Linked DNA regions of Elephas maximus indicus. The protein of the gene in region 1 purifies or fractionates together with the protein of each later gene. This does not show direct contact. Links are inferred from orthologs where the notes say so. Each region holds a gene or a part of one and is shown in the gene's direction. Other genes may lie near its edges.

Region 1 (7,631 bases):
AACCAAGTTGATACACACATTTTTGGGGGGACATAATTCAATCCATGACAGTATGTTTGAAACCATTGTTGCAGCCACTCTTGTCAGTCCATCTCCTTGAGGATCTCCCTCCTTTTCGCTGGTCCTGTGCTAAGCATGATGTCTTTTTCCAGCATTTGGTCCCTCCTGATGACATGCCTTTTACATAGAGCGCTGTCTTTTTTAGAAGAGCTGATTTCTTTGTCACTCTAGATTCTTAAAGTGTTCATAGATTTCAATCCATTAATAAATTCCACGCGTGAATTTATCCTATATAAATATTTACAAAGAAGGAAGAGCCTCCTATCACTCTGCTGCCAGTGATTTCCTGCTGTTCTGGAATCTCTCCCCTTCCCAGTGTTGCTCCTACATGGCTACACTGCTTCCACTTTTACCATTCCAGCCCGAAGTATATGCACTACCCCACAGTGCGATGAGACCAGGCTACAAAGGACCAGAATATAATTGTAATAGCAAAATCAAAAATTGGCTCATCATTTTGGCTGCTCTTAAAGCCAAGGCCTAACCCTCTTCCTGAACTTCCTAATAAGATGACACATGATACCATGGACTGCCAGAAGAGCAACAAATCTGTCTTGGAAGAGGCACAGACAGAATGTTCCTTAGAAGCGAGGATGGCAAGACTTCATCTAACGTGCTTTGGACACGTTATCAGGAGGGACCAATCCCTGGAGAAGGACATCATGCTTGGTAAAGTAGAAGGCCAACAAAACAGGCAGACCCTCGAAAAGATGGATTGACAGAGTGGCTGCAACAATGGGCCCACACAGTAAAAATTGTGAGGGTGATGCACGATCAGGCAGTGTTTCATTCTGTTGTACACAGAGTCACTGTGAGTAGCAACCAACTCGATGGGCACCTAACCATAACAGCTACAGAGTTATTTCACCCTAGGTTCAGCCTTATTGCTACCACCCAGAATGCAGTAGAGCAAGTTTCCAAATCCCAGAGTCAAGGTTGGGAGCAGAGTCTCCTCCCTTTCCCTCCCTCTCTCCCCCAGGCAATTCCTCTAGGCTAACATGCCCAATCCTCTTCCTTGTTTAAAAAAAAAAACAGTTGCCCTTGAGTCGATTCTGACGCACAGCAAACCTATAGGACAGATAAAACTGCCCTGTAGGGTTTCTAAGGGGCATCTGGTGGATTGGAACTGTTGACCTTTTGTTAGCAGCTGAACTCTTAACTACAGCCCTACCAGGGTTCCTTTGCTGGTTTAGTCTTTCCAAATTCTTTCCATGTGATGGACAATGGCAAGGTCCATTCTTAGGTTGACCAATTATCCCAGTTTTCCCAGAACTGTCACAGTTGCTCTGAGTCAGAATTAACTCCACGGTAGTGTTTTTTGTTTGTTTTTTGGGGGGCAGTGGGGAGGCAGAGGAGGGTGTCACAGTTTTAGCATTGAAAGACCCATGTCCTGGGAAACACTTCAGTCTTGGGCAAACAGGACATTTGGTTACCCTACTTCAGAGAATGCACTATGCTACCTTTAAAGTTATGACTCCACCTGGAGAATGCTATACAATGAACAATCAATACAATAATGACTTATTGAGTATTAACACCAATATTTAGGGCATCAGTGGTACAACCCAGGATGATCTTTACCTCTACCCACTTGGTTTCTTTTTTAAAGTTCTTCCTCCAGTGTGAGGAGTATCCTGTAGGTTTGGGGGTTTCAACTCCTTTTCTCTTATGGACAATATTTCCATCCACACAGACATCTCCATAAGAACAAAACAGTCGGTTGTTGTCACATGGAAGCTTAAATCCACACTTCAAAAGAAACAGTTCTCTAAAGAAAATGTATCTCTAGGAATGCGATTCTGCCTGCAGAATAAGCCGTATTTTCCATGATCTCACAGAACAGTATAGCTCCATAGCTGTCTCAGTTTCTCAAATATCTCCATTTTCCGATGGTCATTTTAGATTTATATTTGCATAACTTTCAGGTGATTTTCCCAAAATAAAAGTCTCTGGCTTTTAAAAAGCAAAAACTTATCATAAACTTGAAATTACAGTTTCTTAGCTTTTATTACTGCAATAAAAGTTCCAAAATAATGTAGTAATTTAGGTCAAATTTGAATCAGGGGTGTAGCTCTAGACATTATGCCCCACAAACCTTTCTAAAAAAGGAAGCTTATCTATAGCATGTATTCTAGGAATTCTGGGAAGACTGCAAAGAAAGGTCTCTTTGCCAGCTCCTCATTTGGCTCCAGAAATGTGGCAGAGACTGCTTGTTTAGCTGTCACTTAGTATCCATGTGCCTTCCACCTTCAGTGGGTAAATGGCTGCCTGGGATAAAGACTACTTCCCAGCTTGCCTTTCATCTAGGTATGGCTATGTAACTAAATCCTGGTGAGTAGATATAAGTGGAAGTGCCTGTGTTACTTTCAAGATGTGTGGTTATGGCTAGGAGACGTGCTTTTCCTTCTGAGCTTCCTGCTTTTTGGAATGTGGTCATGATGGCTGGAGCTTGAGTAGACATCTGGGATCTGAGGTGAAAGCCACTTTTAGCCACTAATAGCAAAGCAATAAGATAAGAAGGAGCCTCGTATCTGACACTGAGACACCATACTTACCCTGGGGTGTGCATCTCTGAATTTCTTTTATACGACAAAGAAATAAACCTCTACCTCCCTTGTTGTTAATTGCTGTCAAATGGATTCCAGCTCAGGGCACCCATGTGTGCAGTGCAGAACTGCTCCACAGGGTTTTCAAGGCTCTGTCCTGTAGAAAGTAGATTTCTAGGCCAATTTTCCAAGGCCCCTCTAAATAGGTTTGAATTGCCAATTTTTTGGCTAGTAATCAAGTGCTTAACTCTTTGTGACACCCAGGAATTCCCTGCCTTCCTTGATTACTCTTATTATTTGTTTATGTGCAAAAAAGACTAATAATAAATAATAGGGTTATAGCTGCCTCTTTCTAAGTGCAGCAATACCTATTACACAGAAAAAGGAAATAACACAAATGTTCAGCAATGGGGAGCATGATCAGTGTATCCCCTCAGTGGACTATTGTGCAACAGTTAAAGAAAAAACTAATAAGTTTTAATAGGGGAGATGATATAATGAAAAATTATAACGTAATTGTATCTCTCCTTGAATTAAACTTCTAAAAATTATATATGGATATTTCCAAGCACTTCATGGGAACATGAACAAATTAAAATTATACATTTTGGAGGCAGACTTTTAAGTTGTTGTTTTTTAAGACTTTCATTAATGCTACTATACTGTTTACTCATTTTAAAAGTCCTCTAAAACAGTGGTAGACAACCAAAGCCCAGTGTCTTGTCCTTATGTATGGCATGTTATGGTTGCTGGTCTCATGTCTATGTGTTATTTTTATGGGTTGTCCCTAAGTATTTTCACAGACTAAAAGAAGAAAGTACAGAAAGTAACAATAAATTGTAAATAAAATTAATGCTGTAAGGATGTGTTCTTTCACTTTAATTAAATTATAAATTATTCAAGGACTGGGACTATCTTATTTTCTTTTTATGCCCTTCCAAGTCTCCTCACTCCTTAGGAGGAGGTAGGGTACTCTGTATTACTGTTCACACTTGGTAATCCATATTTGTAGTGATCCATGTGTTTTACTGAGTTGTACTCAGGATGCACATATAAATCCCTACTTGTGCTGAGCATATTTGGGTACTAAGAGACTTCAGAAACAGGCCATTGTTGTGCATGAAAATGTCAACATACTTTATCATCTGATCCCAGAGACTTTTGATCATTATGTAAGAACCACACCTGTGGTTTTATGGTCCCTGTGCTAAAAAAAACCCCAACCTATGGATTCCAACCCTTTGCCCTCGAGCGGATTCCAACTCATAGGGACCCTATAGGACGGAGTAGAACTGCCCCATAGAGTTTCCCAGGAGCGGCTGGTGGATTCGAACTCCTTAGCAGTCGAGCTCTTAACTACTACGCCACCAGGTGCCAGGTAAATCAGTATCTAGACATGTCGAAGAAAATAAAATGCGGTCCATGGATTGGCTTTCCCCTGATTTAAGGTCAGATGACACACCCGTGGGTTTTCTCAGCTTCTTGCTACGTTTGTGGGACTTTAAGGGCTTTTGTATTTACTTTGTTTCTATCTGGATTCGCATTCTCTTCCTCTCGCCATAAATACATACATATTTTTGGTGAATGTATTACTGGAAAGCCATGTAATCACATAATGTTAGAGCTGGAGAAGATTTCAGGGATCATTCATCTCACTGTTTTGTGAGAAAACTAACGATCAAAAGAGGTGATTTGCTCAATTGGGATAAATATTTTTCTAAGTTCATAAGGTAGTCGAACTGTATAGCTAAACTACAATTAGACTACAAGTGTTACTGCACCATGATTTGATTTTCAACACTCTCAAGAAAAACTCCAGGTGTCTACACAACTTAAACAGCCGGCAACCGACACAGAAAATGGCAGAAGCACAGGTTTAGAATCTGGACTTGTTTATTTATGCCTTGGACGGGAGCCGGACCTTGAAGCCACGGAGCTGTTTTCCGGCGCTCGGCTCTGGTGCCTTGAACGATAGCTCAGGCGCTCCTCCATTAATGTCTGGGCGTTCGTGTGTTCGGTGATCTTTTGCGCCGTCTTCTTGCTTGATGTCTCCTGAGCGGTGGCGGCGCCCGGTCGAGGGCTGAGTTACCCGCGAGGCTCCACACTCGGGCCGCTTTCTTCCGCCGGTCGGTAGAGCGGACCTCTTGCGTCCTTCCTGCCTATTCCTTCCTCCTCTTTGTGGCTCAGCCTGCTCGCCGGGCTGCAAACCGAGCCCCCACTCGCCTTGCAGGTAGGCCCGGGAGGAGCCTGGGAGGCCCGGCCCGGCATCCTTCAGCCACGGGGTTGAGAAGACCTTGGCGCCGGCGGGTGGGCGGGCGGACCCGCGGCCGAGACTCCGCCAGAGGAGGGGCTGTCGGGCTGCGTTCGGGGGCGCGGCCGGAGGGGCGGCAGGGAACTGAAGGAGAAGCCGGAAGGAGGGAGAGATGCTGGGGCAGCCCAGTGTGGTTCGGTAGGGAGGGGATGTTGGGTCTAGGGTGGGTGTCGGCGCCCCCTGTGTCGGGGGAAAATCGCCTTCCAGAATGGTTAAAGATTTGCGCACTTTGACCCTCCTCCCTTTTTCCTTTCCCGCTTCCTAAGGCTCCGGGTGTCATGACTCAATTGCACTGGGGACCCCCTCTGAGTCCGGCCTTTGGAGGGACCCTTGAGTAGGTGGAGGCGTGTGGAACAAGGCCCTCTGGCTCCTCTGAGCGAAGTGTCATTTTCTCGCCTCTTTTTTGGGTAGGGAAACTGAGGCTGAGGTCTGGGACGTGAGTTTTCCCCATATCCCCTGCAGATGTTGAAGGCACTGTAAGTCACTTTTTTGTCATTTACCAGCTCACCTTTTTTCGTTTTACCAGGTACTCCTTTATGCACATAGTGATTTGTCATTTGATTGTCTGTGGTTCCTTCTTCTTAGGAATATAAATTCTGTTACCGGTGACTTCAGAAGTAAAGAGACCATGTGATCTTTTGGCTGGTTTTGCTTTTCAAAGTCTGTGTTATTTTAGCGAGAATAGCAATGACAGTTTCTTTTTGTTTCTTGGTTGATAATTTTGTTTGCTGTCCAGTTTGCTTTCTAGTTGATGCTTTTTTTCTCCTCCTTCCCCTCAGCCGGTTTTTAGTGGAAATCTTTCAACTATGGTGTCCTGACAGGATGGTCAAGATTTTGAAATCAGATGGTTGGCCTTGTGAGGGTTTGCCTTCCGGGAAGTATCCAAAGGAAACCTAAGGAGTCCCTTTTGGAATACTTTTTCGTGTTTTTGATTAGTGGTCAGTGCATATACTAGAGGTAAAAGGCTGTGTGCAGGAATCATGCAAATATTGAGGTATTTAAATTGAAGGTTAACATTCTGGGAACTCTGTTATGTTTCTCTCCAAACTTGGGAAATTTGGGGAGTTACTTATTCTTACTCGTTTTATTTTCATTGAATTTGGTGTTATGATCCTAATTTGTGTAACTTTTTGTTGAAAAAAATAATCAGCGTAGAGGTCAAGCTAGGTCGGATAAGTTCTCATAGTATGTAGAATCATTGGGAGAAGCCTTTTAAGGGAGAACTGATTAAATCCCTGGTGCTTGGATGGAAAATATACAAGTCTCTGACCCAGCACAATTTTAGCATTCTCGTGTGAGCGTTGGAAAGATTTTTTTTTTCCCCTCTAATTTTTTTGTGGGGTCAGCAAGATTTAAATGAAAGGCCTTTGATCGCGAGTGCTTTTCTAGTCACCAGGATCTCAGTGCTTACTGAAAAGGATTAATGAAGAGCCACCAGACTATACGGAGAATCTAGATTGGGAAGTTAGGTTAAGAATGTGTATTCGTTGAAGAAGAAGGCTTTATGGTAGAAGAGAAATTATATCAGAGGAGAGAACTTAGAGAAGGAAGCGATATTGTCCATTAATCTTTGGTAGGTTCTGGACAGAATTTAGAGTTACGTGTAGTATCTTAGTGGTATCTTATAAGTGCTAAATAATAATAATAAAAAACAAACAACCAAACCCAGTGCCGTCGAGTCGATTCTGACTCATAGCGACTCTATAGAAAGAGTAGAACTGCCCCATAGAGTTTCCAAGGAGCACCTGGCGGATTCAAACTGCCAACCCTTTGGTTAGCAGCTGTAGCACTTAACGACTACGCCACCAGGGCTTCTAAGTGCTAAATAAAGTAAGTGGAAATTGCTGTGAGTGTCGGGAAGAAATATTAGCAACGTTTTATGTTTCTGTAAAAAGTACTTGAAGATGAATTGAGGAAGATAAGAAATTTGGTGGTAGGGCTTATGGGGTAGAGTTTATCAGCGTCTTGCCCCCTTCTCTGCTTTAGGATAGAAATTCACTCCACTTTTAACTTACTTGATCAAATCTTGTTTTGTTCTGTCAGTGTCAGAGTGGGCTGTCTTGTGGGATTTCCTTTCCGAAATGTACAGGTTCAGAATGTGATTGAATTATTCTTTTAGCAAGACAGTTCTTGGGGATTCTTAAAGGTGCTGGTTTCTTTGAATATCCTGTAGAATTTGGCCTGGAATGGAATTATGTATATCACTTGAAAAAGATAAGTTATGTGTATTACTTGAAAATTATTATTTTTATTAACAGAATAACAACTTACACTTTTATACTGTATGATTTTCAAAATATTTTCAATATGTGTTAGGAAACTTAAGAAACTTATTTTTTTGACCATATTCCTTTATGCTGCTTATTAATTATGCTGCTTATTAATGTTGAACCAAAACATTTATGGTGTTTGAGGATCCTCGTGAATGTTGACAGATTATGTTGACTATTTGTCTCACTCCTCCCATAATATGATAAAGTCTTTGCTTCTCTTAAAGGAATTGGAGAAAAAGTTTTGTCGTCGGCACACCAAGGTCTCTTTTTCCAAGATGTGCCTCAGCCTCAATAGAGTTATTTTGGAATGGGATGCAGATTTTTTTTTTTTTTTGCTCAGTGGTTTGGTTTATAAAAACAAAAAATCTGAAGTTCCTTTAATCATAGTCATTCTTGTTTCTTTCTCCAGTTGTTCCTTATAAACCCAAAGAGAACTTTCTG
Region 2 (7,190 bases), on another chromosome or scaffold:
TTGCTGTCTACCATGTTACAGCTCCTGTCTCCCTCTCTCTGTGTCTCCCTTTAAGCCTAGCAGCACGGCAAAACTGACCAATCCACTCATTATGGTTTCATATACCTTATCTGCATGGTCCTACAGGGAAACCCTGGTGGCATAGCGGTTAAGCACTATGGCTGCTAACGTAAAGGCTTCAGCAGTTTGAATCCACTAGGCACTCCTTGGAAACCCTACAGGGCAGTTCTACTTTGTCCTATACGGTCAGTATGAGTCGGAATCAACACGATGACAATGGGTTTGGTTTTTTTGGTTACTCCCTCAAGGGTCCCACACACCTTATTAACATTATTAACAAGCTATCCAATCCCCTTGGTGAGCCACAAGTACCTCATTTCCATAGTCGCACCCAGTCATATGGTGAGAGTTACAAAGACTATGGCTAACTAATTCCCTACACCACACTGGTGAAAGCATTCCAACCTTTGGCAATTACAAATAAAGCCACGATAAACAATTGTGCACAGTTTTTTATGTTAACGAAGGTTTTTATTTCACTAGGAGTAGGGTTGGAAACCCTAGTGGTGCAGTGGTTAAGAGCTAAGGCTGCTAACCAAAAGGTCGGCAGTTCGAATCCACCAGGCGCTCCTTGGAACCATATGGGGCAGTTCTACTCTGTCCTATAGGGTCGCTATGAGTTGGAATCAACTCGATGGCAACGGATTTGGTTTTTTTCATTCAGGAGTAGGATTAAGGAGCCCTGTGACCCAGTGGTTAAGCACTTAGCTGCTAACCAACAGGTCAGGGGTTTGAACCCACCAGTGGCTCTGCAGGAGAAATATGTGGCAGTTGGCTTCTGTAGAGATTACAGCCTTGGAAAATCTATGGGGCAGTTCTACTCTGTCCTAGAGGGTTGCTATGAGTTGGAATCAACTCAATGGCAACGGATTTGGTTTTTTTCGTTCAGGAGTAGGATTAAGGAGCCCTGTGACCCAGTGGTTAAGCACTTAGCTGCTAACCAAAAGGTCAGGGGTTTGAACCCACCAGTGGCTCTGCAGGAGAAATATGTGGCAGTTGGCTTCTGTAGAGATTACAGCCTTGAAAAATCTATGGGGCAGTTCTACTCTGTCCTAGAGGGTTGCTATGAGTGGGAATCAACTCAGCAGCAACAGGTTTGGTTTTGCAGGAGTGGGATCGCTGGTTTGTGTGGCCATCTTGCTTTTAAAGGTCTTTTTTTAAATAAATAATATTTTATTGTGTTTTTTTGTAAAAGTTTACACAGCAGTTTAGGTTCCCATTCAACAATTTCTACACAAGTTGTTCAGTGACATTGGTTATATTAATGCATGAAAATTCTCACAATTTCCTTCCTGGTTGTTTCATTTCCATTAATCTAATTTCCCTGCCCCCTTACATTCTCATCTTTCTCTTAAAGTAATTGTTGACTATTTGATCTCGTATCGGTGATTTTTTAAAGGAACACAGTACTTACGGGTGATATTAATTTTTTTTTTAAAGTCTTTTTGATGAACAGCTGAACAATTGATGAGTGGTAACACAATTTTTTTTAACTAAAGCTTTCTCATCATCTGACTCACATGTCACACAAGCAAAGCGCTTGCCGTAAGTACTCGGTGTGCTAAGCACTGTACACCGCAGCATTTTGGTGACCTTGGGCAAGTCATGCAACCTTTTGGAGCCTTAGTTTCCCCACCTGTAAAATGGAGGTAACAATGTAAGGATTAAATAATACACATTTGAGTGCTTGGAACAGGCCTGGCACACAGCAAGGCCATGTCAACACTCGCTGTTAAAATGTTCACTACCTGGCCCTTCTCAAGCTGTCTGCATAGCAACCCTAGCAGGAAAAATCTACTCTTCATTTTATGGAGGAGGGCCCTAAAGCGGGGAGAGAGGTCAAGCAACTTGTGCAAGATTGCAAAGGCTGTAAGTAAGTAAATAATGGGTCCAGGATTTGAACTGAAGTGAACTGACTCAAAACCCGCCCTCTTACTTAAGGTGTCCATTGGGGCCACTTTTCCAGTAATATTCTGAAATGCCCAGTCAAAAACCCACAGCCCTAAGGAGAGTTTTGTGTTTTTTCTAAGTTAAAACTTCCTGATCATGTCCCAGGCTTACTAAGGTTACCACCAAAACACAAGGATACCCCTTGCCTGATGTTTTTGGCAAAGGGTTGTCCACCAGAGTGGAAAGAAACATCAGTAAAACTAGAAAGGCCTACCCAGAATCATGTTATACCTTTGGAGGCCTAACAAAGGATGGTGCCACCATGTTTGTAATTCTACATTAAATTAATATTATAAAATACTAGAGTGTAAGTGTAAAGAAGTCCAGGCAGCTCTGGTTTGTTCCCCGTGATGACAACTCTCCTGCTATTTATTTACCTAACTTTTTGAATTTTGAATTCTCTTCCCCGCATTGGCTCTGGACCCCTGCTGTGGTATATGTCTCAGTCCAGAGTCCTTGCTGGCACGGTTATCTTGGAGTCAGTGAGTGGGCAGGGAGATACGGAATCTACTTGCTGGGCAGCAGGACAAGGCCAATGGTCTTCTTTCTCAGCGGTCCCAGCCTGCACAAGCTAGGCAGTCACCAGAAGCTTTTGCTGAAGTCCTGACTGAGAAGGGGGGCACGCTCAGCAGCCTACCACTAACCAAAGCAGGTAGTACTTCCCTTTATGCCAGAGCTGTCAACTCTTGTAAACTTCAAGACCCAATGAGGTGGATACAACTGCCATCCTCATTGTACACATAGGGAGGCCAAGGCCTAGAACGGTTAAGTAACCAGCCCTAGGTCGGGCAGACAGGAAGTTGTGCAACCGGGAATCAAACCCTGTCATCTGGCTCCAGAGCTAGTACTGTGATGCCCTGACCTTCCAAGCAGTTATTCCAGGACCCCCCACCCCTCCGAGTGACTACCTGTCCCTTCCTCCCTATGCCCCTCTCAGGTGGTACCCTTTTCTGTACCTGCTTTCCCCATCAGATGTGTCCTTAATCACAGGCACCACAAATTCTCAGGACCAAATAGGATGTGGTCACCTAAGGATGAGGAAACAGGTGTATGACAGGCCCATAACCCCCAAATCATAAAGGTAGTGGGGAGAGGAAAAGAAGCAGGTGCAAAAAAAAAAAAAAAAACCCAGAAATATTCATGAAACGTCCGCAGCATGCCAACACTGTTTCCAAGTATGGGAGACGCAGCGGGGACAGGACTCAATCCCTGCCCTGGTGGAGATCACACAGGTCACAGACTCAGGAGGTGGGGGGGAGGGGCGCAGTAATCATGAAAACCAAGGAACAAGACAATTTCGGATTTCACAGCTCTTGAGAAAATTGGGTTGAGTGCAAGGCATGAGGGGCGGTCGGGACGCTTAGGCAGGAAAAGATGCCATCCTTACCTCAGTTTACAGGGACCTGCATAGTAAGGACAGGGACAGTCTTGGGGCACCCCGTTGCATTCTCCCACAGCCGAGAGAAAAGGGCCGGTTAACGGGATGTCATCCAGTCAACTCTGACTCATAGCGACCCTGTAGGATAGCGTAGAACTGCTCCATAAAGTTTCCACGAAGCGGCTGGTGGAGTCAAACTGCCGGCCTCTGGTTAGCAGCCCAACGCTTACCACTGCGCCACCAGGCAGGTGGGTATTTTTATTCCCACCTTACAGAAAGAAGTACCTGGGCAGGAATCCAACCTGCCCAGAATCACCCCACCCAACCAGGCCCAAACCGTGTGAGATCTCCCACAGGCAGAGTGAAAGCTGCCAGAAAGGGGCGGGGCCTCAAGGGAGCGTGACCTGCCCGGCCCTGCCGCTTCCCGGAGCGGCGCGTACCGCCCTGGGGCAGAAGGTATCAGTAACCTATTGACCCAGGCATGAAGAGGGGCTCCAGGAAAGCTAGGTCACCGGGCGCAAGGTACAGGCGGCCGCGATTGGATCTCCCAAAGGATGGGCGGGGCCTCCGGCGTCGGGGGCGTGCGCCACGGTAGGCGTTGCCGAGGGGGTGGGGAGAGCGGGAAGGGGCGTGGCCGCGCGGGGCGACCGTTGGCAGCGAGGCCCCGCCCCGGATTTCGCGCGTCGCGGGTTGGGCGACGGCGATTGGCCGGTGCGGCGCGGGGGGCGTGGCGGAAGGTTCTGGAGGGGCCTGGCGGGCTCTGGAAGCTTCCGCCGGACGGGTATATAGAGTCCGGGACCGGGCGGTGGCGGAGCCGGGGGACGGCGAGAGCGGGGCGGTAGGCCGTAGGTGGGGGCCATGGGCAAGGATTACTACCAGATACTGGGCTTGGCCCGCGGCGCCTCGGACGAGGAGATCAAGCGGGCCTACCGCCGCCAGGCGCTGCGCTACCACCCAGACAAGAACAAGGAGCCCGGCGCCGAGGAGAAGTTCAAGGAGATCGCCGAGGCCTACGACGTGCTCAGCGACCCGCGCAAGCGCGAGATCTTCGACCGCTACGGGGAGGAAGGTGAGTACGTGCGTGCGCTCGCGGCAGGGGCGCGCCCCCGCCGTTTGGCAAGCTGGGAAACCGAGGCACGGCGGTCCTACGCGACGGACCCCCTGCAGCATCCTCCGGGGTCGCCCCGGCACGGAGGACGAGCAGCCCCCTCTGTCTGTCCCCGCGGGCTTCCGCCCTCGGATTGGCGACCGCCTGATGGGAGGAGGAGCCCTGGCCAAACCTCTCACCCAGAAGGTTCTAGCATGTCTGGGGCTGCCACTCCCTGGGAGCCGCCACCCACGTCCCCTGGCGGCCCGGGGTGACGGGGGTGCCGGTGTGGACGGAGACCGAGCTCGTTCATCGCGCCGCTGCCCGCAGGTTCACCTGAGCCCACCTGGGCTCGGCCGGGCAGTGGATTGAGGGGCGGCGCCTCAGAGCGCTCCGGGCACAACCTGCCGGTGGTGGGACCGGAGATGAGGGCGCCGGTTGGCACCGACCCCACTCCCGGGCCGTGAGGGTGGAGTGAGGTAATCCCTGTAAAGTGCTTACCTAGCCGTGCCAGGCACGTAGGAAGCAGCCATCACCGACTGCGGCCGTGCAAGAGCAGCGAGTCCCCTAGGCCTGGCCTCCCTGCATAGTCTTCTCGGCAAGAAAGGGTTTCTTGTTGTCAGTTTGCCCGTTGATGACTCAGCCTGGCTTCTGGACTCTAGTCTCAAGAAATCAATCGACTTTATATAAGATGGTGTTAACTAATGCCAGGGTGTGGTGGTGAGCATTTGAAAAATCTGTGTACTTTTTATCTCCACTTCTACTCTCCACATTGTCATTAGCATCCAATACCACTTGCCATGGATTTGGGCTCATAGCACTCTGTAGGACAGAGTAGAGCTGCCCCATAGGGTTTCCAAGGCTATAATCTTTGGTGATGCAGTGGTTAAGAGCTCAGCTGGTAACCGGAAGGTCAAAAGTTTGAATCCACCAGCCACACCTTGGAAACTATGGGGCAGTTTTACTCTGTCCTGTAGGGCTGCTATGAGTCCAAATTCACTCTACAGCATCGGGTTTTTACGGGTTAATGTTTGCAAAGCAGATTGTTGATAGGCTTGAACCTCTGATATTGGTGTCAACAGCTGGAGTGTGCTTAACCACTGTGCAATCAGGGTTCTTCGTTGGCATCGCTATCTCTAAAGTATTAAGAGTAAATACTTATTGAAGGCTTACCTTAAATCATGCTTTTTTCACCTCATCTCTTGGTGAATCCTTGTAATGTTTTGGGGAGGATGGGTTAGCCAAGAAGTGGCAGGTACCTAGAGATGCCCGATGAGCTCATCCTTCTGTTGTGCCATGGAGGGTCTGTCTGTGCTGCTGCATCAGGAGGCAAAAGTTTGGGGCTCTTCCTTGCTCTTTCCTGACAAGTTAAAAAAAAAAAAAAAAAACAACTCCTACTCAATGGTTCCCAGGGTTTTTCCCCTTAAGGAAAACTCTTAGAAAAAGAACGTCCTGGTCAGCTATCTAACAACTTCTGATTTTGCTTTTCAGGCCTAAAGGGTGGCGGTCCCAGTGGCGGGAGCAGCGGTGGTGCTAACGGTACCTCTTTCAGCTACACGTTCCATGGAGATCCTCACGCTATGTTTGCTGAGCTCTTCGGTGGCCGAAACCCCTTTGATAACTTTTTTGGGCAGCGGAACGGGGAAGAAGGCATGGACATCGATGACCCGTTCTCTGGCTTCCCCATGGGCATGGGTGGCTTCACCAACATGAACTTTGGCCGTTCCCGCCCCACCCAGGAGCCCACCAGAAAGAAGCAAGATCCTCCCGTCACCCACGACCTTCGGGTCTCGCTTGAAGAGATCTACAGCGGCTGTACCAAGAAAATGAAAATCTCCCACAAGCGACTGAACCCCGATGGAAAGAGCATTCGCAATGAAGACAAAATCTTGACCATTGAAGTGAAGAGGGGGTGGAAAGAAGGAACCAAAATCACCTTCCCCAAGGAAGGAGACCAGACTTCCAACAACATTCCAGCTGACATCGTCTTTGTTTTAAAGGACAAGCCGCACAATATCTTTAAGAGAGATGGCTCTGACGTCATTTACCCAGCCAGGATCAGCCTTCGGGAGGTAAGGCACTAGGCAGGATGGGAGTGGGCTGCTTTTTAGGCAGTGTTTGCTGCACAGTTACTTGTGGGCCAGGCTCAGGGTGCCGCATGAAAAAGACTGACCAGGGCCCTATTCTTCCATGACTTCCATGCTGCTAACCCAGTAGATTTAAGGGCAGGCTCTTAGTTGCAGAGGCCTAATGAGTCTTCCTTACAGCAAACAGTCCCTGGGTAGGAATTAAGCTTCTTAAGCTATTCTCTATCTAATACCGTCCCTTTGTTTTCTAAGGCTCTTTGTGGCTGCACGGTGAACGTCCCCACTCTGGACGGCAGGACCATACCCGTCGTGTTCAAAGACGTCATCAGGCCTGGCATGCGGCGAAAAGTTCCCGGAGAAGGCCTCCCCCTTCCTAAAACACCGGAGAAACGCGGGGATCTTATTATTGAGTTTGAAGTGATCTTCCCTGAAAGGATTCCCCAGACATCAAGAACCGTACTTGAGCAGGTTCTTCCAATATAGCCACGTGCACTCCCCAAGGACTGATTAGGGACCTTTCAGAGCTCAAGGATTTCCAGATTGTTCCACCAGTTGTGGTTCCGCAAGAGGGCGGGGAAGGCCTAGGGAGGGCTTTCGTACTGCTGAATGTTTCCCAGAGAATATATTA
Region 3 (6,950 bases), on another chromosome or scaffold:
TTCTCCTTTGCTCCAGGTGGGTCGAGACCAATTGATGCGTCTTAGATGGCCACTTGCTAATGTTAAAGTTAAATTTTTGATAGCCTGTGAGATTTTGCTGTTTTGTGGTTTTGCTTTTCTATTTGTTTTAAGATTCATATGCATCACTTCAAGTCTTTTTGGAAATAAGTGACGTAGATTTTTCTTTTTAATGTTGAAATAAGTGATTACTTGCCAGTTGACTGCCATCCCTAAATGAAAATAACTTGCAAGGTCCTTAGCACATTATATTCATGTATTTTGAATTTCATTTTGAGGTAATATCCAGATTCTCATGTTTCATAATACTCAAATTTTATGGAAGAAAAACTTCCAAGTTATCCTAAGTTTTTCCAGTTTACTTTTCCTTTTCTTTTTGAAAAGGTGAATGTGCTTGATGAGATTTATATAAAGCACATGTTTATTAGCTTTCTGCCCTAAGTATTAAAATTTATGTTTTTTAATGCAGATGTGGAATTAGAAGAAGCTATTAGAAGAAGTCTTGAGGATATGTAATTAAAGATATTACCACACAACATCAAGTGGCCTTGAAGAGATTCTCAGGATGAGTTCTAGAGTTTGTTTTCTAAAGGACACCGAAATCTACTAGCATAAATGTATTTGAGAATATGCTTTTGCATTCATGTATTCAGAGTCTGATATTTGCTTTGTGTTTTTGTGCTATTTGGCAAAAATGTTCAGAAGGAATGGAATATATATTAATACAAATATAAATCATGTATTCTAATGTAGGTATTCGTTTCTCAGCTAACTTCGAATGCATATACTTAGATTAAAATGATTTTTAAAAAATAGAAAAAATCTTGGCTATTGTTTATATATTTCTCAAATATGTGTTCTTTAATTTTATTTGTACTGTACAGATGATTCTGGTTTATTTTTTTAGGAGTGAAAATGAATAGAAATAAAGCTGCTCAATTTTTCTGTAAATCTTCTCACGTGGCATTGATATAAAATACATTTTGAGATCTTTATTTATAATTATTAGACCAGAGTAGTGGAAATTGATCATGTAAATAGATTAAAATTTTTACCAACAATGTCCCTTTTGGGTTTTGCTCAAATGTATATCCCTGCTTTAATTAGAGGAGTACATTGCTAGAAAAAAAAAAAAATCAATTTTTTTGAAATAATTAAAAGGAAACATTTTCTATTCCTTTTACCTGCTTAGACTTTTCTATGACTTGTATGAGCTACTGTTGAAGGGGAATGATGCTAAAATATTTGTGTAGAATTACACTTATTTTTAATAATCTTAGTCCTTTTTTAAATATATTTATGTAAACATAATATTCCTCAAAAAATAATGTAAGGCCTACTCAGGAATATTCTTCCTTAACTGTTTTAAAAAAATTATTTCTTATGAAAGTAGCTTCATTGTAGTTATTCATTGAATTGTCAATTTCCTGCATTTGGATTACATATTTAATTTTTAGATGTTGAGGCCCCATTGTGAATAGTAAAAATATTACATAAATAGCAAAGTAAGAAGAGCTCATGATACTACCTGTGTGTGTTTCATGTTTTTTGACCAGAAATCCTTTAGCATTAAAAAACTGAGTAGTAATTACTTACCAAACTTGAAAACATTTCTTTAAACATAAAGCTTTCTTTAAGACAAAAAATACCATGGCCAGAATTTTGTTCTTTCTCTGTAACACTGGATATTTTATTGTAAAGTGGAATTACTGTTTTTTTTTTTTTTTATTATTAACAGCCTTTTCAACCCACATTGAAAACCAAATTGTGTATTTCTTAAGATGTCAGTTCTGTTCCTCCCTGCTTACATTTTTTTAAAACACCATAGCTTGAGAATTTACCTGTCATCATTCTAAAATGACCACATTATGCTTTCAATTTGTAGGTTGAAGTGGTCAAGCAGGGCTCTAGGAGGTACTCATTAAGCCGGACTTTAAAGATACTTGCAAGAGCTTTCTAAATAGGAGCAGAAAAAATGGTCCAGGAAGAAGAGTGGTTTAGCAGATGTGGGGCAAGTGGAGACAGTAGCTCTTTGCCAGAGTTCCATACATGGGTGTGATGTACACTGATATTCCATTAATAAGCTTTTGTGGTTTGTATGGTAGAGAGTAACCAAAACTTTTGAAATGACAGGAAAGGAATATTTCATCATGACCTTTAAGAAGAGGTAGTTTAATGTTTTAATTAATAATTGTCACCAATTGTATTTCTACCTGTAAAGCAATTAAAAGTCATTTAAAAGTACGTCATAGTTTAATTTAATTTAGACACAAGGAGAAGATATAATCAAGTGGATGACATTAGAGAAAGTCATATGGCTTATTTATCAAAAGTAAATGTTTCTAACATAAAGATGCTTTTCATTACATTATTCATTCATTCAAAGAACTATTGAATACCTACCATGTACCAGCAACTGTTCAAAGTACTCGGGATGTACCAGTTAGCAAAATAAAGCCTCCACCCCTCTGTGGAGCACACATTTGGGGAGAGGGGGTTGGATGGAGTTTTAGATAATAAGCAAGTAAACAAAACAGTATATCTGATGATGATAAGGGTGATGAAGGAGGGGCTTACTATTTTTAATAGGGTGGTCAGGAAATATCTCTCTGATGGGTAAAGTTGAGCAAAAGAAGGTGAGGGAGTGAGCCATGCAACTATATATGGGGAAAAGTGTTCCAGGTGCAGTGAAAAGGTCTAGAAGTGAGTTCAGCATATTCAAGGAAAAGCAAGAAGGCTAGTGTGGCCGAAGCGGGATGAGCTAGGAGGGCAGCAGATAAGATTGGAGAATTGAGGTGGGGAACTGTGCATGGAAGGCCTTAGGCCTTTTTAAGGACTTGCTTTTTCTCTCGCATGAGGAACCATTCTAGGTTGCTGAGAATGAGTGGTATGATCTGCCTTATTTAAAAGAATTAACTATAGTTGCTTTATCAAGAAGACATGAGATGCAAGAGTAGAAGCAGAGAGACCAGACAGGAGGGTACTGGAGCAATCCAGGTGAGAGTTGATGGTAGCCGTGGAATTGGGGAGAAAAATCTGGATATATTCTAAAGGTAGAGCTAACGGATTTTACTCATGGATTGGATCTAGGATATCAGAGAAAGAGTTCAGCATGGTTCTAAATTTACTTCATAGACTTTCACACCATTAACAAAATGTCTTCAGATTCCGAGCTTGTGTCACAATATGACAAAATATGTTTAATGAGGTCAAATAATCTCCTACACCAATAGTTCATTAGTATTTAGAATGAGTTCAGAGGGAATTTCAATCTGGGTTTAAGGGCCTTATGTTCAAGTATTAAATGGCTTTGATGTCTGATTAAAGGTTGTGATTCAGCTTTAAACGGTTTTGTCATTTTCTGTGCTCTGCACATTTTCGCCTTTACTGTATGACACACAGCTATAATAAGATGGGAACAAAACAAATTTTTCCTTTAAACAGAAATCGTTATACTCCCAGACCTACTCCAATCTTTTACCGACCTTTATGGTATCTCACCTAGTGGACTACTGCATCTTGCCATTGTTACTAGGAGATTTAAATAAGTTAAACATAAAATGGCCTTCATTGTTAATACCAACTATTTCACTCACTTCCTACAGGAATAATTTTTTTGAATAAACAGTAAAAACAAATCAATAAAAATTGCTTCATTAGAATGGGTGGAAACGAAGCAAATTCATCTTGCTTCCCATATCCAGCTAGACAGACAGGTGTGGTAGCTTTTTTTTTTTTTTTTTATAGGCTTAATGTTGTCTAGGCTGTGATTTTCATCTCAGGAAAGGGACGGGTAACAGGACAGGTCTGGACTGCCTAGGGGTTGTACATAAATGCTTTCAGCTCCCCAAAGGGACCATTTCTGCCCACATCAAAGGACTTTTAACTTTTTTTTTCCTTGCTGTGAATTATGGGTGCTGGGAGAAACTGAAAGAAGCCATCACTGAGCACTACACCCACCTGTGGGCGTTGGTTACTTTCAGGCTGCACCGAGCAGGGGGGTCCATTCCGGGGAAGGAGGCGGGGCGTTCTCCGCGTGGGCGTCGGTTGTTCCAGACTTCGGCGAGCAAAAGTACCAGCCGCTCGCGTTGTGCCCAACCCGCTGCCTGTGTCCGCCCTTCTGGGTTCCTTGAAGGCTGCCTGGCATTGCTCCTCAGGTCCCCTTGCTCTGCCTGCCTATCCTGGAGACCCGGTGACCCGCGAGTCCCTAACCACTTCGCTCCCCCCGCCCCACCGCCGCAGCAGCCCCCGAGCCCCGCGGGCGCCGCGTCTGTCCTTCTTTGGCCAAGCGGCAGCAGCAGTGCCGGCGCGTCTCCCGGGCCGTCCCCCGCGGGCGTCAGAAGGAGGCGGTCGCCCCGCGCGGTGACAGCGACGCCTGCGGCCCCGGGAGCGCTCCACTCGCCGCTGTCGCCAGAGAGGCCGGTGACCTCTTGGCCCCCCCGCCTCGGAGGCTCAGATGGCTCAGGCGAAGATCAACGCGAAAGCCAACGAAGGACGCTTCTGCCGCTCCTCCTCCATGGCGGACCGCTCCAGCCGCCTGCTCGAGAGCCTGGACCAGCTGGAGCTCAGGTGAGCGCGGCCGGCGGCGGCGGGGTTCCCATGCGGAGGCGGCCGGGGCCGGGCGGGGCCTGGCCGGCCGGGCGCCGTCCCGCCTTCCCGGGGCTGCCTGTGCAGCAAGAGCCGTGCTTGCTTGAGATTTGTTTTTGGTGGAGATGGCGCGGTTTTGTTTCTTGGTGTTTTTTCTCCTTGTCCGAGAGAGGACAGATTCTATTTAAGCTAAACCTGTGAGCGTGTTATTGGTGGTCACATTCTGATTCACGTGTCTGGGCGTTTGGCAGCGGAGAAAATACAAATCAGAAAAGATAAAAGTTACGATGACATTGTTTGAGATTAGGGACTGTGGCACTCCTGGTGAGCAGAACTTCTAGAACCTTCTTTGTGCCTCTACATGGTCCTTCCAAATGTTTCTAACTTAACACTTTTTCTGTTATGCGTTTTTAAGGGAGGCAACAGTTTAGTGTGGCCCCCGATATGAAATGATCAGTTTTGTTGCTCCAGAACGCTTTAGAGCAAAAAAAAAAAAAAAGGAATCCACCCAAAAGCAAGGTTTAGAGAGGAGTGGGACAGATGCTGGGCTGTGGGGTGAACGGTAGCTGGGTATTTTATGGAATAAAGACACCGCAGCTTCCCTTCCTCTGGTAACCCCGCATACTGTATTCAGCCATTCCCTTAGTCTCTAAATATTCATTGTGTACCTTCTTATATGGAAGTCACTGTGCTGACATGACACCTTCTTGAAGGTGCTAGTCACCGTGGCCTGAAAGCTTGAAAACATAGTTTCCCCTTTTACCTGATTAAGATTTCATTAAGTGATTAACCGCTCCAAGTCGGAATCGACTCCCCGGCGACGGTTTTTTTTTTTTTTTTAAGTAATTAATGCAGTGGTAGGCTTGTATAGAATTTCTGAATTTATAATAAATTTTGGCAATACTTTTTATTCCTTTAACAGTATATGAAAACTTTTGTTTCCTATGAACGTTTTGATCTGTGTACAGCTTTATGTACTTAAACGAAGATCTTACTAAGGCATACAGGAACCCCCCGAAATTGGACAGAGTTTTGTTTCACAGTTTTCACCAGGTTCAAAAAGGTGTATGTGAGCCAAAAAGTGTAAGAAGGGCTGCATGTATGTGTTTATCTCTCCTGATTAATATACCAAATCAAAAAGAGATGTATGTTTTCCAAGAAAAGTAATAGCCACAGTATTCTCTAAGCACTGAGGCACTTCCAACTTTCCCAAGAGTCAGAGAATGAGAAATTCTCCACGTACGACGATTTCATGAATGGCAACAGAGAAATCTGAGCCCTAAGCCAGGTTCTGAGGTTCTGCTCAGAATGAGACAAATGGAACAAGACAGAAACAATGCTTCTATGTGAATTTCCACAAAAATAGTAAACCTGACCCATTCAACCCAGAGAAAGTGGAGCAAAACTAGAGATCAAAGGCCTCAACGACTTTCTGTCTCTAAGAGTAATATTTCTCTCCATGCAGCAGTGTAAAAAGTAACTCACACCTCTCTCCTGGTCTTTAGAACTTTGAGAACATGTCTTCTGACTTTTCAGGAGTCTCCTCAATTCAGAAAGAAACGGTTTTTTCCTTAAAAGAATGAGGAGGGCGTGGCCCCTCCTTCAAGCTGAGTCATTGTCCTGAAACCAGAACTAATACCTCACACGTGGTGGGTACAAAAGTAGTCAAGTGTGCCTCTTTAAAAGAAAGCATCTAGTTTTTTGAGTATTATTATAGTCAGATGTTTGATTAATGTAAAATAATTACTGCATGTAAGTGATTAAATTACAACTTGCTTAATTAACCAGTGAGCTGAGGAGGAAGGACTACTGATTAATATGTGTCTTAATTGTTCATTTCAAGGACTTTTCTAATAATTCTAGACTTTTAAAAGCTCTATTTCTTCCTTTAAAAAAAGAAACGAAACTGAAAACTTAGGAAGTATTTCACCAGGTAAGAAAAGATAGAAAAAAATGCTGCCATTCCTATGAAAGTTGTTCTGAAACCACGCGGGGTATATTAGGTAGAGGAAAATGTTACCATTTTGTACTTAGAAGCACGCATTTACTATTCTCCAATCACACTGGTTCTGTAGATTGAGAAAGAAATTTCTTCCATATGAAACTGAAAGCAAGATTATGCCAAATGCTGTATGATTTGAATTACGAGCTGGTGTGTATGTTTAAAATGCTTTAAAATATTTGGCAGCATTCTACAAATCATTAAAGAATTCCATTTGTTTCTAATACTTTATCATGACACTAGCCTTTCTTCTTTGACTCCATCTCCTTTGTTCCTTCCTCTTAAAGAGGTAATTCATGTCTCTCCACGTTTTCATAACCAGTTCTGAACAGAGTCTGAATTT
Region 4 (7,715 bases), on another chromosome or scaffold:
CTCTGATGCCACTAGCTTACACCCAGGAATCAGAAAGACAGGTGAGTCCTGCGGTTGTTGTTGCCACTCCGTCAATTTCGACCCACAGTGAGCGACAGAGCAGAGCTGCCCAGAGGGTCTCCTAAGCTGTGGTCTTTAGGAAAGCTGGTCACTACCAGGTCTTTCTCCCACGGAGCACCTGGGTGAGTTCGAACCTCCAACCTTTCTGTTAGCAGTTGAGCGCTTGGCTATTGCACCACCAGGGCTCCCTGAAGTCTTACTAAATAGATATTATTTAAAGTTCATAGTACCATCTAAGACACATCTACTGGTCCCACTCCATCTGGAACAAAGAAGAATGAAGAAAACCAAAGACGCAAGGGAAAAATGAGTCCAAAGGACTAATGGACCACAACTACCATAGCCTCCACCAGCCTGGGCCCAGAACAACTAGATGGTGCCCGGCTGCCACCACCGACTGCTCTGACAGGGATCACAACAGAGGGTCCCGGGCAGATTGTGAAAAATGTAGAACAAAATTATAACTCACAAAAAACATCAGGTTTACTGGTCTGAGAGAGACTGGAGAAACCCCTAGAGTATAGCCCCCAGACACCTTTTTAACTCAGTACTGAAATCACTCCCAAGGTTCCCCCTTCAGCCAAAGATTAGACATGTCTACAGGGTCACTATGAGTTGAAACCAACTCACTGGCAACAGGTTCTTGGTTTGGTATAGGGCAATCGATCACACACGTGAGGAGTGTGCTTCATGGTTCAATCATGTATACAACACTAAATGGACACACCAGCTCAAAAGCAAAGACGAGAAGGCACGAAGGGACTGGAACACTGGATAAATGTAAACAGGGAACCCAGGGTGGAGGAGAAGGGGCGAGTGCTGACATATTGCAGAGTTGGCAACCGATGTCACAAAACAATTTGTGTATTAATTGCTTAATGAAAAACTAATTTGCTCTGTAAAATTTCACCTAAAACACAATTAAAGAAAAAAATTGATAAAATACATGGCAAAAAAAAAAAACTAGATAAAAAGGCAGACTGGGAAATGTATTTGCAACAGATAGAACAGACAAAAATATTGGTATCTGTAATAAAAAGTTTCTCTGAATTAATAACAAATAGAAAAAGGGCAAGGGCGAGTCATTGAAGATAAATTTTAAAGGGTCAACAAACATACGAAAAGACATTCAAACCTGCTAGAAGTCAAGCAAGTGAAAATTACACAAGGAAACTGCAGTTTTAAGGCACCCAATTGGAAAAGCCGAAAAGGGGAGGAATCACATCCGGTGCTGTCAGGGAGACAGGCCTTCCCTCGTTTCTGCAGAAGTGACCCGCAGCACCTTTTCTGAATGTGAAGGAGCCCTGGTGGCGCAGTGGTTAAGCATTCGGCTGCTCACGGGGTTAGCGCTTCAAATCCACTAGCCGCTCCACAGACGAAAGCTGAGACAGTCTGCTTCGTAAAGATCACAGCCTTGTAAGTCCTGTGGGGCAGTTCTACTCTGTCCTACAGGGCCACTATGAGTCGGAGTTGAACCCATGACAACGGATTTTTTGAATGTGATCTGACCATATCTAAAATGTTAAAAATCCATTCTTTTTGGCACAAGAATTCCAGTTTGGAAATCTATCTTACGGGAAAGTAAACGCAACAGTATGTAAAACCATCAAAAAAAAAAAAAAAAATGACCTCTCGATGCCAAGGGCTTGTATTTTTGTTCTTTGTGATCCAAAAATTGCTAGAAAATGATTTTTAATTCCTTAACTTCTGTGTACAGGACTATAACACATACATTCGTTGTGTCCATGCCTTACAGACTGTACAGCTTTGAGGAAGTGACTTTACTGTGCCTAAATTTACTCATCTGTCAAGTGACGATGCTAAAAGTAACTACTTCATAGAATTGCGAAGGTTAAATGCATTAAAATGTATAAAGTTCTCAGAACAGTGCATGCAACCGTTCAGTCAACGTCAACTATTACTATGAATGTGACTAAAACTCAGGACTGAAAATAAACATTACTTCATGAAACGTAACCAGTGGTTCTCAAAATTGGAGGGTTATTTGACTCACCCTCAAAAATCCTGATGTCCAGGCCACACCCCAGACCCACTCACAGGAGAGCCGCAGGGGGTGGGCCCCAGTTCTGTGTAAGGTCTAACCAATGGTTCCAAAGCACAGACAAGTTCAAGAACCAAGGATGCAAACTACACAGACAAGGAACAAGCTGCAAACACTTACGAGCTGAGTTTAAGTTGGGTTTGGAAGGGAGAATGGTGCCTAACTATCATATTTCTGTTAAAACTCGTATCCAGAGATGAGAAGTGGGAACAAAGCGTGCAGGTACTGAAAGCCAATCTCTTTAACTCAAGCAGAGGGCAGAGCCAAGAATTAATGAAAAACAGACGCAGTGTTAAAATGTGTATCTACTTAGATAACGAAAACAGTATAACGACCTGTCACTTTTGGGAAGACCTGACATTTACACTCAGCTCCTGAAAAACAGCAATCTCTCCCTGCTGCAGAAACTTAACTACCTAGAGAAACTGCTGTGCACTCAGGAAGCACACAAAGGTGGTGACGAAGGAAATACAAACTGCCCTACAGCAGAAACTGTTTACAGTCCATCCAGGATCCAGAATAATGCAGCACTCAGATCCTACATAAAAAACAACACGAGTCATCGCTACAGTTGGGCAGGTTCTGACTCACAGGCCAGCCTCCGTTTTTTACTGGGTCATCAGCATCACAACAGGTGTGAGCGGTCTAGCAAGTGCCCAGCACTGGGTTTGCCTGTAAGTCTCATCGTGAGGATCCAACCCAAGGTAAGACCGATTTTACCTTAACAAAAAGCCTGCATGACAACAAGGAAGCCTTGTCTGGGTGAAGTCCTTTTTTTTGCCCACTAGCTCACAATATTGGAGCCCTGGTGGCACAGTGCTTAAGCGCTATAGTGATCTATGGCTGCTAACCAAGAGGTTGGCAGTTTGAAACCACTCCTTGGAAACCCTATGCGGCAGCTCTACTCTGTCCTACAGGGTCACTACGAGTCTGAATCAACTCAACGGCAATGGGTTCAGTTTTTTTGGTTTGCTATGCAGGAGACCTGGGTTCAATTCCCGGGCAATGCACTTCATGTGCAGCCACCACCCATCTGTCGGTGGGGGCTAGCATGCTGCTAGGACGCTGAACAGGTTTCAGCAGAGGAAGACAGACTAGGAAGAAAGGCCTGGCAATCTACTTCTGAAAATCAGCCAACTAATCATGGGGATGGCACAATTCCATCGTGTATGGGGTCACCATGAGTTGGGGGCGACTGGACAGCAGCCAAGAACAACAGCAACAGTTCACAAAATAGGGAAGTGTGCCATAAGTGGCTAAGGCACTCTGCTGCTAACCAAAAGGTTGGTGGTTCAAACCCGCCCCGTGGCTCCACAGGAGAAAGATCTAGAGATCCACTCCGAAAAGATGGTTGTTGTTGCCGTTTGGTGACATTGAGTCGGTTCCAACTCATACCAACCCTATGTACAACAGCATGAAACAGTGCCTCGTCCTGCGCCATCCTCACAATCGTTGCTATGTCTGAGCCCACTGTTGCAGCCACTGTGTCAGTCCATCTCATTGACAGTCTTCATCTTTTTCGCCGACCCTCGACTTTACCAAGTGGGAGATTACAGAAAAGATTTTTACCTGATAAGATGACAGCCTAGGAAACCCTAAGGAGCAGTTTTACTCTGTCACATGGGGTCGCTATGAGCCGAAATCCACTTGACAGCACCTGACGACAACAAGCCCTCATTCTGGGGAAAGCTCTTGGTTGGTCTGTAGTTTGCTTTCCCAGAGCACACTCTGTTGTGAGCACACTCCTGCCCAAAGACTGAGTGAGACGCTGCTAGGCTCCTGCGTCCTAGGAACACAGAGAGGGCTGTGGCCACTCTGACAGGGAACTGAGCGGGGGGGGGGGGGGGCTGGGATCTGGCTAAACAACTGCCCTGGTGGCTCCTCGACTAAACTATAAACTAGACAGAACTTCAGGGCCAACGTTTATGAAAGTGTGTTAAGAGCCTGAGACCAACAGAAACGAACATCTCCAGGCAGGCTCACTTTGGAATTCTTAATTGGTTTTTTTTTTATCCTTCTTTAATTACTGTTTTAAACAAGCTGTCCAGCCTCCCTCATTAGCACCTTGGCAAATGAAGCGCCTATATATTTCCTTTACGTATTTTATCTGCAGCCTATTCCCCACCGCAGTCAATGTTTCCATTTAACAGCTGGAATCAAGCCCCTCCCCCACCCCGCAAAAAAAAAAAAAAAAAACAAGCCCACTGCTGGGGAGTGGATGCGGACTCACGGTGACTTATAATAGGATTTCCAAGGCAGTAATCTTTCGGAAAGCACACTGCCACATCTTTCTCTTGTGGAGCAGGTGGGTTTGAACCCATGTTTCAGTTAGCGGCCGAACTCTTAACCACTGCACCACCAGGGCCCCACTCAAAGCCTAGGCCTCCCTTGAACAAAATATCTTTCATAACAGAGCAATTTATAATTATAAAAACTGTCTGCCATTCTTTCTTGTACAGACTTTAATCTTTGTGGATTTTTGGCCAGCATACACGCACCTCATTTCCAAACCAGAAAAACTCTTCACCGTGAAGTCCTAGAGAAAAACAAAGGTCGCCATCGCGTGAGGAAAGGTACTAACAATCTTAACGACGCCAAGTCACCAACGAACAGGCAAAGATACACGAGCTTTAAACACGGAGAGCAGCTGTCCTCGAGAATAAAAAGGTAGGCACAGACTTGCTGGCCGACTCGGACTCGGCACACGTGATGACAGTCCTACTGGTCCACATGCACCCTGGTCCCCGCACCCAGACCACGGGGTTGACACGGGAACTGCGGGCCACGGGCTCACTGCGGGCCACCAGGTCACCTGCTGCTCTGAACCCTGCCTGGAGCTCAACTCACGCCACAGTGGGGGAGACGTGAGGTGCAGGGCCAGGCCGCCTGGAGGGGTGCAGGGTGGGGGTCGGTCCCGAAGTGTGCAGGGTGGGGGTCGGTCCCGAGGGGTGCAGGGTGGGGGTCGGTCCCGAGGGGTGGGGGGCTGGGGGGTCGGTCCCGAGGTGTGCAGGGTGGGGGTCGGTTCCGAAGGGTGCGGGGCTGGGGGTCGGTCCCGAGGGGTGCAGGGTGGGGGTCGGTCCCGAGGAGTGCAGGGTGGGGGTCGGTCCCGAGGGGTGCAGGGTGGGGGTCGGTCCCGAGGAGTGGGGGCCTGGGGGTCGGTCCCGAGATGTGCAAGGTGGGGGTCGGTCCCGAGGAGTGGGGGGTGGGGGTCGGTCCCGAGGGGTGCAGGGCTGGGGGTCGGTCCCGAGGGGTGCAGGGTGGGGGTCGGTCCCGAGGGGTGCAGGGTGGGGGTCGGTCCCGAGGGGTGGGGGGCTGGGGGTCGGTCCCGAGGAGTGGGGGGTGGGGGTCGGTCCCGAGGGGTGCGGGGCTGGGGGTCGGTCCCGAGGGGTGCAGGGTGGGGGTCGGTCCCGAGGGGTGCAGGATGGGGGTCGGTTCCGAAAAGTGCAGGGTGGGGGTTGGTCCCGAGGGGTGCGGGGCTGGGGGTCGGTCCCGAGGTGTGCAGGGTGGGGGTCGGTCCCGAGGTGTGCAGGGTGGGGGTCGGTCCCGAAGGGTGCGGGGCTGGGGGTCGGTCCCGAGGAGTGCAGGGTGGGGGTCGGTCCCGAGGGGTGCAGGGTGGGGGTCGGTCCCGAGGGGTGGGGGGCTGGGGGTCGGTCCCGAGATGTGCAAGGTGGGGGTCGGTCCCGAGATGTGCAAGGTGGGGGTCGGTCCCGAGGAGTGGGGGGTGGGGGTCGGTCCCGAGGGGTGCGGGGCTGGGGGTCGGTCCCGACGGGTGCAGGGTGGGGGTCGGTCCCGACGGGTGCAGGGTGGGGGTCGGTTCCGAAAAGTGCAGGGTGGGGGTCGGTCCCGAGGGGTGCGGGGCTGCGGGTCGGTCCCGAGGTGTGCAGGGTGGGGGTCGGTCCCGAGGTGTGCACGGTGGGGGTCGGTCCCGAGGGGTGGGGGGTGGGGGTCGGTCCCGAGAGCTGCGGCTCGGACGCCTCGTCCCTGACGACCACTCCTTCCGGTCCAAGCTCTCGTGCGCCCCGCTTACCCGGCTGGGCGCCGCATCCCTGCGCTCTGGGGCGAGCTGGCGGCGGTGGCCAGCGAAAGCGCGGCAGAGCTGGGGGAAGAGGGCCTTACTCCTGGGCCCCAAGGCCGCCATCATTGGCGTCCGCCCGGCTCCCGCGGCGCACGACAGAGGCGCGACGGCGTCAGAGACCGCCTTACGGCAGTGTCGCAAAGACTAAGGCGAGGGGGAGCGCGGCCGACCGTGCGCTTTCCCGGCGGTTCGGGGAGGCGGCTGCGGGCACCGCGGGGCTGTGGGCGAAGGGGTGACGGGCGCTCCTCGGCCGCGGCCTCCTCACGCTGTCGTGCACGCGGCTGGCGGCGGGCCGTGGGGGGGCGCCGCGACTGAGGGACGGCTCCCCGGGGCTGGGGGCGTTCGGCCCGGGGCGGGGCTGCGGCGGCCGGGCGGAGGCGGGAGCCGCAGAGGCTGCTGAGGCGGCGGCCGGAGCGCGATGGAGCGGGCGGAGCAGGTGAGCGAGCGGGCGGGCTCCCTCCCCGCCGGCCGGGCTCCCTCCCCGCCGGCCGGGCTCCCTCCCCGCCGGCCGGGCTCCCTCCCCGCCCCGGGCCGTGCCGAGCGCGCCGCCCCCTCTGCCGCGGCCCATTGTGAGGTCAGGGCCGGCGGGCGCGTCGCGGGACCCGGGCCGAGGCCCCCGGAGCGGCCGCTGCGGCCAGTAGCTGCCGCCGCCCCGCCGGCCCCTGCACCGGCCGCCCCGTCCAGACCTAGCCGGGAGGGGCGAGAGGGATGCAGCTCGGGGCCCCGCTCCGGCGCCTCACCCCGTGAAGGGCCGCCCGGCCACCGGCCAGCTCCGCGCGGGAAACCCAGGCGCCGGCAGCCCCGACCGGCTCCGGGTAAAGGGCCCGAGGGCCGGGCGGGGACGGGGGCGGGGAGGGCGGGCCGAGCTCTTCGCGGGAAGACGGGCTGCGCTGCTCACCGCCGATGCCGCGTTCCGGGGGGTGTGCTGGCGGGGGAAGGGGCCCGAGCCCCCCGAAGCCGCAGGCGGCGCCTCTGCAGGGCGACTAAAGGGCGGGTCGGGACCGGGCTTGGAGAGGCCCGGAAAGGCAGGAAGACGGATGTAGAAATGGGGACTTCGGGGGGTGTAGGCCCCTCCGGGGCCTGCCTAGGGGCTCAGGTCCTTTTGCTCTGAGTTACTTTTTCTGGAAACCAGACATAGCTGTCTTGGAGGGATGGGGTGCTTGGGTGGTAGGGTTTATGCTGCGTGACTTTCCCTTCCGTGCATTCCGCAGGTGCCCTGCTCATTCTAGCGTTAACACCCCAAGTATTTGTGTTATGCCGAACTGCTTGCATCTTATAAAGGCAGACGTAGGCGCCTCTCTTTTTACGATGGCTGAAACGCGACATCCGCAGGCCCCGGGTTCCCCTGGACGCGGCAGTAACCACTGTTCCTAATAGCTGCCAGGCTGGGGGGAGGGAGTTGGTATGTCACTCTCCTTGCTGTACCTGAGCATAACTGTCTTCTGGGTTGCGGTAGGGACAAGCCCCTTCTTTAAGTATGTCTTTTAATTAATGTGTGATTGCCATTCTTCAGAGACT

Evidence for each region.
Region 2: the proteins of AMBRA1 (region 1) and DNAJB1 purify together in Homo sapiens (affinity purification with mass spectrometry, with the first as the bait; 3 studies listed by BioGRID). This does not show direct contact. The link is inferred for Elephas maximus indicus from reciprocal best matches to the Homo sapiens genes AMBRA1 and DNAJB1.
Region 3: the proteins of AMBRA1 (region 1) and BAG2 purify together in Homo sapiens (affinity purification with mass spectrometry; 3 studies listed by BioGRID, with this or other methods). This does not show direct contact. The link is inferred for Elephas maximus indicus from reciprocal best matches to the Homo sapiens genes AMBRA1 and BAG2.
Region 4: the proteins of AMBRA1 (region 1) and BAG5 purify together in Homo sapiens (affinity purification with mass spectrometry, with the first as the bait; 3 studies listed by BioGRID). This does not show direct contact. The link is inferred for Elephas maximus indicus from reciprocal best matches to the Homo sapiens genes AMBRA1 and BAG5.

Annotation. Positions count from the first base shown.
Region 1 is NC_064825.1:102,061,085-102,068,715, reverse strand, and holds the start of AMBRA1 (activating molecule in BECN1-regulated autophagy protein 1), read left to right. Parts: upstream 1-4,621; 5' UTR 4,622-4,836; intron 4,837-7,631. UniProt on the Homo sapiens protein: Substrate-recognition component of a DCX (DDB1-CUL4-X-box) E3 ubiquitin-protein ligase complex involved in cell cycle control and autophagy.
Region 2 is NC_064821.1:33,094,996-33,102,185, reverse strand, and holds the start of DNAJB1 (dnaJ homolog subfamily B member 1), read left to right. Parts: upstream 1-4,178; 5' UTR 4,179-4,246; coding exon 4,247-4,457; intron 4,458-5,966; coding exon 5,967-6,547; intron 6,548-6,814; coding exon 6,815-7,045; 3' UTR 7,046-7,190. UniProt on the Homo sapiens protein: Interacts with HSP70 and can stimulate its ATPase activity. Stimulates the association between HSC70 and HIP. Negatively regulates heat shock-induced HSF1 transcriptional activity during the attenuation and recovery phase period of the heat shock response.
Region 3 is NC_064819.1:122,938,375-122,945,324, forward strand, and holds the start of BAG2 (BAG family molecular chaperone regulator 2), read left to right. Parts: upstream 1-3,948; 5' UTR 3,949-4,474; coding exon 4,475-4,587; intron 4,588-6,950. UniProt on the Homo sapiens protein: Co-chaperone for HSP70 and HSC70 chaperone proteins. Acts as a nucleotide-exchange factor (NEF) promoting the release of ADP from the HSP70 and HSC70 proteins thereby triggering client/substrate protein release.
Region 4 is NC_064828.1:117,819,906-117,827,620, reverse strand, and holds the start of BAG5 (BAG family molecular chaperone regulator 5), read left to right. Parts: upstream 1-4,696; 5' UTR 4,697-4,789; intron 4,790-6,149; coding exon of another isoform or gene 6,150-6,263; exon of another isoform or gene 6,264-6,297; intron 6,298-6,537; exon of another isoform or gene 6,538-6,633; intron 6,634-6,708; exon of another isoform or gene 6,709-7,012; intron 7,013-7,715. Other genes in the region: cytochrome c oxidase assembly factor 8, read right to left, coding at 6,150-6,263. UniProt on the Homo sapiens protein: Co-chaperone for HSP/HSP70 proteins. It functions as a nucleotide-exchange factor promoting the release of ADP from HSP70, thereby activating HSP70-mediated protein refolding.